3 linked regions of the Sus scrofa genome follow. The protein of the gene in region 2 interacts with the protein of the main gene of each other region in a pairwise test. Links are inferred from orthologs where the notes say so. Each region holds a gene or a part of one and is shown on either strand. Other genes may lie near its edges. The genes, in order: STAC3, MAB21L3 and AGGF1.

Region 1 (2,565 bases), on a different chromosome or scaffold from region 2:
TGTCAACTATATTGAAGCATGATGTGGGTGGCCAACTGCCCGGATGTTTCAGAGGAAGTCCCTGCATTTGGCAGATGGTTGACTAGATATTTCCCCTAAGGCTTCTTCCAACCCTAAGATACTATTCTGTAGTTCTCTGGCCTGACTGTAGAGTCAGAGCAAGCATGGGTTTCCAAGACAGCATCTTCCTAACTCTGGTGCCCCCTCCAGCCTCTAGCAGCTATGATGGAAGAGGAGCCAGAGTCTGCCAGACCAGAGGAAGGCAAACCCCAGGATGGTGAGTGACACCTGCCTCCATCCAGAGATGGAGGAGTGTTGAGGCTCAGCTGTGCCACAAGGGATTGGGGGCGGGGGGCGGGCAAAGGGCATCTCAGGTTTGAGAAAAGAGTCCCTGGAATAGAAGGATAAGAGATTGAGGGCTACCTCCAGGAGCCAGAGACAATTTGTTGGTGTTTCCCATTCCAGGAAACCCTGAAGGAGATAAGAAAGCTGAAAAGAAGACACCTGATGACAAAGTGAGAATCTGAGAATCTTTCTCCCTATGTGGACCCCAGTCCTCTCCCCAACCCAGGTCTGACACCACTCATGGCCTTAGCAGAAGCTCACATTTATTCCATGGGTTCCCAATCACCCTTAACCTGCCTTCTCCACCACCTCACACACGCAAACCAATAAATTCCTCTTAGTTCAGGGACATGGAGGAGAGTTGGAATGTAGTGTGTCTAGCAAATGCCCTTGTCTTGGCCTCCTGCCCCTCAGTGTGGGACAGAGGAGCTCTGAGACTCATCACCCCCTTTCACCCCCAGCACAAGCAGCCTGGCTTCCAGCAGTCTCATTACTTTGTGGCTCTCTATCGGTTCAAAGCCCTGGAGAAGGACGATCTGGATTTCCCGTGAGAGGCCTTAGGATCGGGGTGGGGTGTACTGGGAGTGGAGAGGGGAGAGCCCAGCTCCCTATGGGAAAGGAAAAGGGGGGATTCAGGGTTTGGAGCCTATTTGGGGCTGGACCTGGGCACAGCCAAGGGACTAGATGTATAAGGCCCCTAAATCTCAGAGGCTTCTTCCTTCCTCTCCCAGGCCTGGAGAGAAGATCACCGTCATTGATGACTCCAATGAGGAGTGGTGGCGGGTAAGAGAAGTGGCTGAGTCTCAGGTGGGACATGGGTTAAGTTAGGACTTGAGATTGTGAGATTGATTCTGCTTACCATGTCCTCTAGGGGAAGATAGGGGAGAAGGTTGGATTTTTCCCTCCAAATTTCATCATTCGGGTCCGGTCTGGAGAGCGAGTGCACCGTGTAACAAGATCCTTCGTGGGGAACCGCGAGATAGGGCAGATCACTCTCAAGAAGGACCAGGTAGCTCTGGTGCCCCAACTCAACCCCAGGCGCAGAGGCTTCTCTGCAAACCATCTTCTTTGCAGATCTTCACCCATTAATGGGACTAGATCGGGCCTCCAAAACTCAGAACTCCCCCCTCAGCTCTTCTGTTTTCTCTTGATTCCTCCCTTCTCATCCTTTCATCCTTTAGATTGTGGTGCAGAAAGGAGATGAAGCCGGCGGCTACGTCAAGGTCTACACCGGCCGCAAGATGGGGCTGTTCCCCACCGACTTTCTAGAGGAGATTTAGGCTTGCAGACGCCTGCTGGCGGGAGATACCCAAACCCCACTATGGGCAGGCCCAGTGGAGGTTGGGAAGAGAAGGGGCGAAAGCAACTTTACCGCTGGGTGGGGGAGAGGTGGGAAGGCCCGCCGGAACGTGACGGGGCTTCTGGGAAGGGACTGGTTCCCGCCCCCCTCCCCCTCGGAGGGCGTCGCAGACTTGGTGCCTGGAGCAGCCTCACCCGCAACCCCTCAAGCCCAGCCTTTGAGAGCTGGAAAAAGAAGGCATCTCCACTCGGAGGCGTCCCGAGGAGAGGGGGGTTGAGGCGAAGTGTCCAATGTTGCGAATTTATTAAAGTTTTGACAGAAGTTAGAAAAGTTTGCTGTTTAACTGGGAGCCGAGGGGAGAAAGGAGAGGGCCCACAAAGGGGCGGAGAATCTTCTCCAGCCGTCTCAGCTAATTACCATTGGGTAATTAGACCCGCCTGGGCTGAGGCTGGTGCGAGGTGGGGAGACGGGTGCGTCCGCCAGGCAAGGCCTCGGTCAGTGAAGAAAACGGTGCCGGACTGGTGTCACTGCTTCTGAGCCGCGAGGAGCAGGATCCTGTAGCAAGGTAGGTGCCCCCCTACTCTTAACGAGCGATTTAAGCCTCTGGCAGCCCCTTTCATTTCCGAACCTGGCGCAGTTCCGAGCTGGGCCGCCAGGGGGCGATACAAGATCTCGGTTGGAGTGCGAGGGACGGGAGGGGCGGGGGGAGAAGCGAGAACTGGAGACACCAAGCCAGAGACCCTGGGCCTGGGAGGGGGTGGGGTGCGTGCCGTCTCCATGGCAACACTTCCTCTTGTCCTCCGGGAACTGAGCGAGCGAGGCCGGGGGTCTAACCCCTCCTACGCGGCCCCCAGCCCCAGCCCTTTGCGACAGGTACCGAGTGAGAGGGCGCGGGGCAGACAGCTAACCGGCTCAAGCGG
Region 2 (3,753 bases):
GCAAAACAACAACAAAAAATAATGATTATATACAAAGTAATTCTAAGTGCTTGGAAATTCTTTAAAAATGATTAAAAGCAAGAGAAACACAGACACTTTAGCTAATCTCATCAAGTAAAAAAGAAGACAATTACAATATACAAAATAGGATCAGAAAGATATAGATAGAGATTACTCTGCCAAACCATATGCTAATGAATTCAACATCTGAAAAAAGTGGATGATATCCTAGAAAAAAAAATTAATGAGGAAAATTGACCCAAAAGAAGTCAGAACATTTTAAGAGAAACCCCTATAGAAGAAATGATAAAAACTGTTAAGAAGATGCCAGGCTCAATTTACCAGAGATTTTTTTTTTTTTTAACAGCTGCACCTGTGGCATATAGAAGTTCCTGGGCCAGGGATTGGATTTGAACCACAGCTGTGGCAATGCCGGATCCTTTAACCCACTGCCCAGGGCAAGGGATTGAACCTGCACCTCCACAGTGACCCAAGCCACTGCAGTCAGATTCTTAATCCACTGTACCACAGCAGGAACTCATACTGGTGGTTTTTTTAAACTTCCAGGGAATATACAGTTCTTGTAAAATTTTTTTATAGAGCACTAGAAAAATATAGAAAACACTTCTAAGGCCCATACATCCAGACTGTACGAATGAAAATATGTCATTTTTTTCTGATGATTTTTTTAAAACGTGTGTTTGACACAATCTACCTATAAAGTGGAAGTCTCCTTATTAAATGCCTTCTCAAGCCCCAATCCCTCCCACCCACTTCCCTTCTTCTGCCCAAACAACCTGACCATGCGTGAGCTCTGGATCCTTACAGGCTCTGAGATAAAGATGGCATTTTTAATCTGTGGGGACAATACGAACGACTGAGAAGAAAGAAAAATGTGCAGAGATTGAGAAAAAAATAATAAAGCCAGGCCCCTATATCCCCTCATATTCCAAAATAAATTCCAAGTAAATGAAGGTGTTCAATATAAAAATAAATCACAAAAGGAACCAGAAGAAAAAAAGGGATGAACATTTATCTAAATGTGTACAGATGAAGAACATGTGCTGAAGGTCCTGAAAACTTTAGCTACATAAAAACTCAAACCTTCAAAATTAGAAAACATAATTTCACAATATAGAAATAAGCAGAAAACCCAAGAAGACAATCCATTGAGGAAATACCAGTGGTTAAGAAACGTAAACACTATTTCATCTCTAAGTTACAAAAACATGAACATTGAATGAGGAGGTACTCCCTTCATCTCGCCCTGCCCCCAAGTTGGTAATTTAGCAAAATATTAGGAAACGGTGATAATGCTTAGGAGCCTCTGGGGAATATGGCCCTCATGTGTTAACAATGGCAGTGCAAACGGACAGGACGATTTTCATCAAAATTTTAAAAAATCATGCCCCCTGACCCAATGAGTCTGCATCTTAAAATTTAAGTGAAACAGGAGGGATGGGCCAACTCTGGGTGCGTTTTTATAAGAGGGAGAAATGGACAGAAACTAAATGACTAGACGCTGGCTCACGAGTTATAACCCATCTATATGATGGAAGATTTTGCGGCCTTTAAAAAGTACACAGTAAAAGAATATTTCATAACAGGAAAATGTTTGTGATACTGTTGACAAATGGAAAAAAGCAGATCACAAACACTGTCCATACATGGAGCAAAGGTTAAAATAGAAACAGTGGTTTCTCTGGGTAGCGGGAGTACATCGAATTTTTTTTCCATGTTAGCTTTTTTTCATTGTTTTTTCCCCTAACAATTAATAGACTGCTCTTTTTAAAATCAGGAAAAGATGTAATATACAAATAATAAAATTCACTATTCAGAGTGGATGGCGCTGAGGTTGCTCAGGGAGAGTATTAAGAGCAGAAAGGGGAAAGGGCGAGGGGTAGAACCCATGTGAGCAATTAAGATAGAAACCTGGTAATATTTGTTTGTCCTCAAAACAAGGAGACCTGTCCATCAACCTTAAGGGTGGTTTACATAATGTGGAATTGAATTTGCTTCCTGTTCGTTCCTTGGGTTTCCATGATTAAACACAGATGACGCTCTGGGCAGATCACACTCTTCCTGAGCACACCCACAGCCAGAAGGAAGTCTCAAGAATCACCCTCTCCCCCTACAGCCTGGAGAATGGGGAGTCACCTTTCCTGACTCCCCCCACCCCACCATCAACTACCTCTCCCCAACTCACTTACCCTTCCAAGTTGGTTCCAAAAGGGAAAGAAAGATCTGTTGTCCGAGGGGGGAGAGAAAACGGATTTTATAGTCCTTCCTCTCCTCCCACCAGGAGCCTACAGCCTCCTCCCCAAACCAGGATTCCTCGGGAAAGTGGGAGGGGAAAGGGGGGAGGGAGCTTCAAGGACGATAAAGAAGAAGGAAGTGGTCTTATAAATGTCTTATTTCTTCAATTACATGAATAGGGGGCACATAAACTGGAGCAGACTGAAAATGTGTTTTTGTGAAACATTCCATATCAATTCCATTTTCTGGATAAAAATATGGCACTAGGAGAGTTCACATTAAAAAAACAAACAAACAAACAAACAAAAAAAAAACCTTTAAAAATTATGGGTATTGGAGTTCCCTTCTCATGGCTCAGCAGTTAATGAACCCGACTAGGATCCATGAGGACACAGGTTCCATCCCTGGCCTCACTCAGTGGGTTAAGGATCCCAAGTTGCCGTGAGCTGTGGTGTAGGTTGCAGGTGCAGCTCGGATCTGGCATTGCTGTGGCTGTGGCGCAGGCTGGCAGCTGCAGCTCCGATTAGACCCCTACCCTGGGAACCTCCATATGCCTCCGGTGCAGCCCTAAAAAGAGAAAGAAAGAAAGGAAGAAAGGAAGAAAGGAAGAAAGGAAAGAAAGAAAGGAAGAAAGAAAGAAAATCTTTGGCAATTTCTAGGTAGTGGAAATTACTGAAGCCCTCCTACTTGGCAACTGGAGGTTTACATACACATTACTTAGCAATCAGCACAAGGACTTAGAATAAAGATGGTATTATTAACATTTCATAGTAAAGAACAGGAACATGAGAAAGAGAAAAAAAAAATCTCTGATTCTAAAACTAAATTCATGCTGTGAAGACTTTAGAGGGTACTTAAACTATCCTTTGGAGAATATTGTGAACTACTCCAAAGCTAAAAAAGTTATTAAGTAACAAATAAAGAAGTTTAACAAGGAATGTGAAAAAAAAAAAAATGGTGGCTGTGGGGAAGGCCTGGTCTTTGGACTGGACTTTGAAATATGGCTCATCTGATAAAGGGAAGGAGTATTTGCAAGAGAAAATGAGTATGTGTCCCTTTGCTGATAATGACAAGCTTATTCTCCTGAGATAACAGGTTTTAGCCTGTTAATTTTAATTATTGATGTAATTAAAAGCAGAGGATGAGGGAGGCTTAGAAGTTATGTGACTTAGACTTCCTTGAAAACACTCTCAAGTCTCAGCTGGAAACCTCACTCCTTGGGAAATTCTTTTGTTGAAAAATCCATTTCTGTCACTAGCCAGTTTCCCAAACTTGGATCCCAGAGGCTCTCATTTCACCAGGAACTTCCATCCGTGTTGTACTTAAATCCCCTTACGACTCTGGGCAGGCTCACATCTTGCTAAACCCCCTTCCCTGATCTCTGGCAACTCCAAGCCTCCAACAATGCCTGGTACATAGTAAGTTCTCAGCGAACTTTTCTTGAAAATATTTGGTGGAATGGTGGATTAAGAGTTGCCCTAAAGTGAATAATGAAAG
Region 3 (3,753 bases), on a different chromosome or scaffold from region 2:
TGCTGGAGAGGGTATGGAGAAAAGGGTACACTCCTACACTGTTGGTGGGAATGTAAACTGGTACAACCACTATGGAAAACAGTATGGAGGTACCTCAGAAAGCTAAATACAGAACTACCATATGAACCAGCAATCCCACTCTCAGGCAAATATCTGGACAAAACTTTAATTCAAAAAGATACATGCACCCCTATACCCACTGCAGCACTATTCACAATAGCCAAGACATGGAAACAACATAAATGTCCATTGATAGATGAATGGATTAAGAAGATGTGGTATATATACACAGTGGAATACTACCAAGCCATAAAAAGAACAAAATAATGCCATTTGCAGCAACATTAATGGAACTAGAGACTCTCATACTTAAGTGTAGTAGGTCAGAAAGAGAAAGGCAAATACCACATGATATCACTTATACCTGGAATCTAATATACAGCACAAATGAACCTTTCCACAGAAAAGGAACTCATGGACCTGGAGAATAGACTTGTGGTTGCCAAGGGGGAAGGGGAGGGATTGGGATGGACTGGGAGTTTGGGGTTAATAGATGTAAACTATTGTATTTGGAGTAGATAAGCAATGATATCCTGCTGTATAGCACTGGGAACTATATCTAGTCACTTGTGATGGAACATGATGGAGGATAATGTGAGAAGAACATATACGTATGATGGGTCACTTCGCTATACAGTAGAAACTGAAAGAACACTGTAAATTAACTAATGGAAAAAATAAAAATCATTAAAAAATACAATTATAAACGAGTTTTTTTAAAGGTTATCCTTATAGCAGAAATTGCCACATTGTAAATCAACTACACTTTAATAACAAAATAAAAAATAAAGGCTATTCTTTTTAGTATCCCTTTCCCCAGGTATTTTAACCATATTTTGTAGTCTCCTAGCCCAGTCATCATGCATTGCAAGTGTTCAATAGCTGTTGCAAAAACAAACAAATTTTCTATAATGTCATGTTAACAACTCTACACAATGGGCACAGGACGTCACTGCAACTCCATGGTTATTTTCATAGATTATTTGATAACAGAGCATAACAAAGTCTGATGACGTTTGTATGTCCAGCCTACACAAGGGGTTTTAGGAAATGTACCGGTAGAGTACAAAGGACAAGACGACAGCCCACGTGAAATTAATAATTAAGTGTAAATAACTTGTCGAGAAAAAGTGCAACTGATCAACAAATTAGAAAAAATATTAGGCTCCTGTTTAAAATTTGAAAAAAAGTGGGTCTAAGTATTTGTTCATATTGTATTTTATGAAAACGAAATTGGCAGCTTAGTGTCTCAAAGACAGTTTTATCTTCCCTTTCACCAGACAACTCAAGATAAATGCCCAAAACAACCTCACACATATGTGGCCTTCAAGACTGTGCAAAACCGTTAACAGTTTGTTCAGGCTTTATCTGATTTAACCTTCACCAGTATGGTTCCAGCGTTCTCATTTACTGAGGATCAGTATTAGTTCACGCATCTAGTGAATAATAAATGGAATTCTGATTGAAATCCGGCCCTTTAACAAACCCAAAAGTGGGCTAGAAGAAAACATTACAAATGTGCCTGCTGCCAATGGGACTTTACAAGGGAGAATGAAGTCTCAAGTAATTGCAGCTCACCCACTTAGTCTAAATCGAGTACCCGAACTCTTAAATGTTTGTTCCAAATGTACTTGGAGTTATAATCGCACTAAACTTTTCATTCTCTGGGATACTCTACAAAGTAGTCCTGAGCACTGCCAAGGAGCCCTTCTGAGACTATCGGAGACTTTGAAGGCCTCGCCTTGGGCCGGATGGGGCGCGGGGCTGGAGAAGGATCGAGCACCTGGGTGCGGAGCTCCTGGTTATTGCTCTCGGCGCTCTGGTACAGCCGTTCTGTGTGATGCAACAGCTTCTCGATCTCCCTCACTTGCCGCTTGCAGCTCCGCAGCTCGCGTTCCAACTTCTCCACCTTCCGCCTCAGCTGGGCCAGCTCTGGCTCGGGAGAGGGAGGCGGCGACGGCGACAACGAAGGCGACGGCGCCTCGGAGGCCATGGGTCCGGCGCGAGACGGCCCGTGGGCGCGGAGGAGCTGCACTCAGGCTGAGGCGGACGCCGGTTGGCCCAGGAGCCACGGGAGCGCGCGAGCAGCGAAAGGCGGCCTCATACCCACCCGGCCGCGGCGGCCCCTGTCCATGACGCCCAAAAGGTTATCTGTAGCCAAGAGGCACTGCGGGCAACGAGCCAGGGGACGGAAATGGGCACGGCCCAATCCGCCCGGCTTTGAAAAGTAAAACTTTATTGGTAACAACCTGCCCCAGTGACCGAATAAGCGGCAGAAACGCCGGAGATAGGAAAGACCAGAGAAAACGAGGCCAGAAGCTTTCCGAGATATCCGTCCGTTTCTGGGCTGAGCCGGAAACGATGGTGCCGGCGGTGGGCGGGGCCGAGACGGGAAAGGAAGCGACGGGAGACGGGAAGGGCCTCACGATGCACATGCGCACTTCTCCTGTCTGCGCGGTTGAGGGGCGGGGCTGTAGGTGTTGTGCAGAGCTGGTAGGAAATCTTCTGTTGTTGCCCGGGAGAGATAAAGGGAAGATGGCTGGCTCCTCTTGTGGCCTCAGGCTTTGTACCCTTTGCCACTTTCAAAATGTTTTCAAGCTTTTTGGCACGGAGTGTACTTCCTAGCTCCTCATTTTACAGTTGAGAACAGTGACTCTCCAAGAAATGATTTGCCAAGGTGTATAGAATTAATGTTAAACCGAGACTGGAAGGATGTGTTCTCATGCTCTGTCACTTACTGATTCTGCGCCTTCCGTGAGTTTAGGTCCCCAGGAAAAGAAAGCAAATTCTTATAGGTCAGACTTGAAAAGAGGAGCATTCCCGGTAGAAAAATAAACACGATTCTGTCAAAGCAGAAAAGAAAATTTATCTGTTTCGGTGTGTCTCTTTGCTTGGTGTTTTGTCTCCATGAAACTGGTATTTGTTCACAGGCTTTTAAACTGATGAGGGCTTTTTGGAACGCACTTCCTTCCTTAGCCAAGATCATTAAAAATCAGAGCCTGAGCTTGGAATGCTGAGTCTGGGACCTCTGGAGGTCCTGTCCTTGGAACGCATTTCCTTCCTTAGCCAAGGTTATTCAGAATCAGAGCCTGAGCTTGGACTGCTGAGCCTGGGACCTCCGGAGGTCCTGTCCTTGGAACGCATTTCCTTCCTTAGCCAAGGTCATTTAGAATCAGAGCCTGAACTTGGACTGCTGGGCCTGGGACCTCTGGAGGTCCTGTCCCAGGGCCCAGCACTGGCCTGTCACAGAGCAGGTATCCTTAAATATGTGCTGAAAAGAAGAATCCTGTTTGATGCTCTCGTTCAGTGACTGCTCTGTGTGCTTTTTTGTCCTGTGCACTGCCCACAAGTTAAGTCTGTGTGTGGTGAGCTCTCCAACGGGGACCTGCCCTTCCTATGTCCTACACTCATTATATCTTAGGCTTTAAGAGCCCTTCAGCAAGGCACTCTACACTCAAGTAGACACATTAGCCCATGGATGGCTCTTCTCTTTTACTGTTTTTGTTTTTTGATTTTGGGTTTTGTGTTCGTGTTGTTCCATAGCCCCAGTCCCATTAGCTCCTTTCTGCCACTATGGGCACCCACCCTCATGTGTCTCATATATGTCCTTAAATATAAATCTGTTCTCATCCTATGCTTTGTGTGTGTGAGATTCTTTTACACTAAGTGGTATTTGGTTTTAAATCTTACACT

The links.
Region 1: the proteins of MAB21L3 (region 2) and STAC3 interact in binary tests that used the Homo sapiens proteins (3 or more experiments, as listed by UniProt). The two-hybrid records come from large-scale screens. The link is inferred for Sus scrofa from reciprocal best matches to the Homo sapiens genes MAB21L3 and STAC3.
Region 3: the proteins of MAB21L3 (region 2) and AGGF1 interact in binary tests that used the Homo sapiens proteins (3 or more experiments, as listed by UniProt). The two-hybrid records come from large-scale screens. The link is inferred for Sus scrofa from reciprocal best matches to the Homo sapiens genes MAB21L3 and AGGF1.

What each region holds. Positions count from the first base shown.
Region 1 is NC_010447.5:22,548,413-22,550,977, reverse strand, and holds the end of STAC3 (SH3 and cysteine-rich domain-containing protein 3), read left to right. Parts: intron 1-210; coding exon 211-277; intron 278-465; coding exon 466-515; intron 516-806; coding exon 807-892; intron 893-1,076; coding exon 1,077-1,128; intron 1,129-1,216; coding exon 1,217-1,354; intron 1,355-1,526; coding exon 1,527-1,625; 3' UTR 1,626-1,970; downstream 1,971-2,565. UniProt on the Homo sapiens protein: Required for normal excitation-contraction coupling in skeletal muscle and for normal muscle contraction in response to membrane depolarization. Required for normal Ca(2+) release from the sarcplasmic reticulum, which ultimately leads to muscle contraction.
Region 2 is NC_010446.5:104,648,659-104,652,411, forward strand, and holds the start of MAB21L3 (protein mab-21-like 3), read right to left. Parts: upstream 2,630-3,753; 5' UTR 2,211-2,629; intron 1-2,210.
Region 3 is NC_010444.4:85,889,129-85,892,881, reverse strand, and holds the start of AGGF1 (angiogenic factor with G patch and FHA domains 1), read right to left. Parts: upstream 2,460-3,753; 5' UTR 2,054-2,459; coding exon 1,844-2,053; intron 1-1,843. UniProt on the Homo sapiens protein: Promotes angiogenesis and the proliferation of endothelial cells. Able to bind to endothelial cells and promote cell proliferation, suggesting that it may act in an autocrine fashion.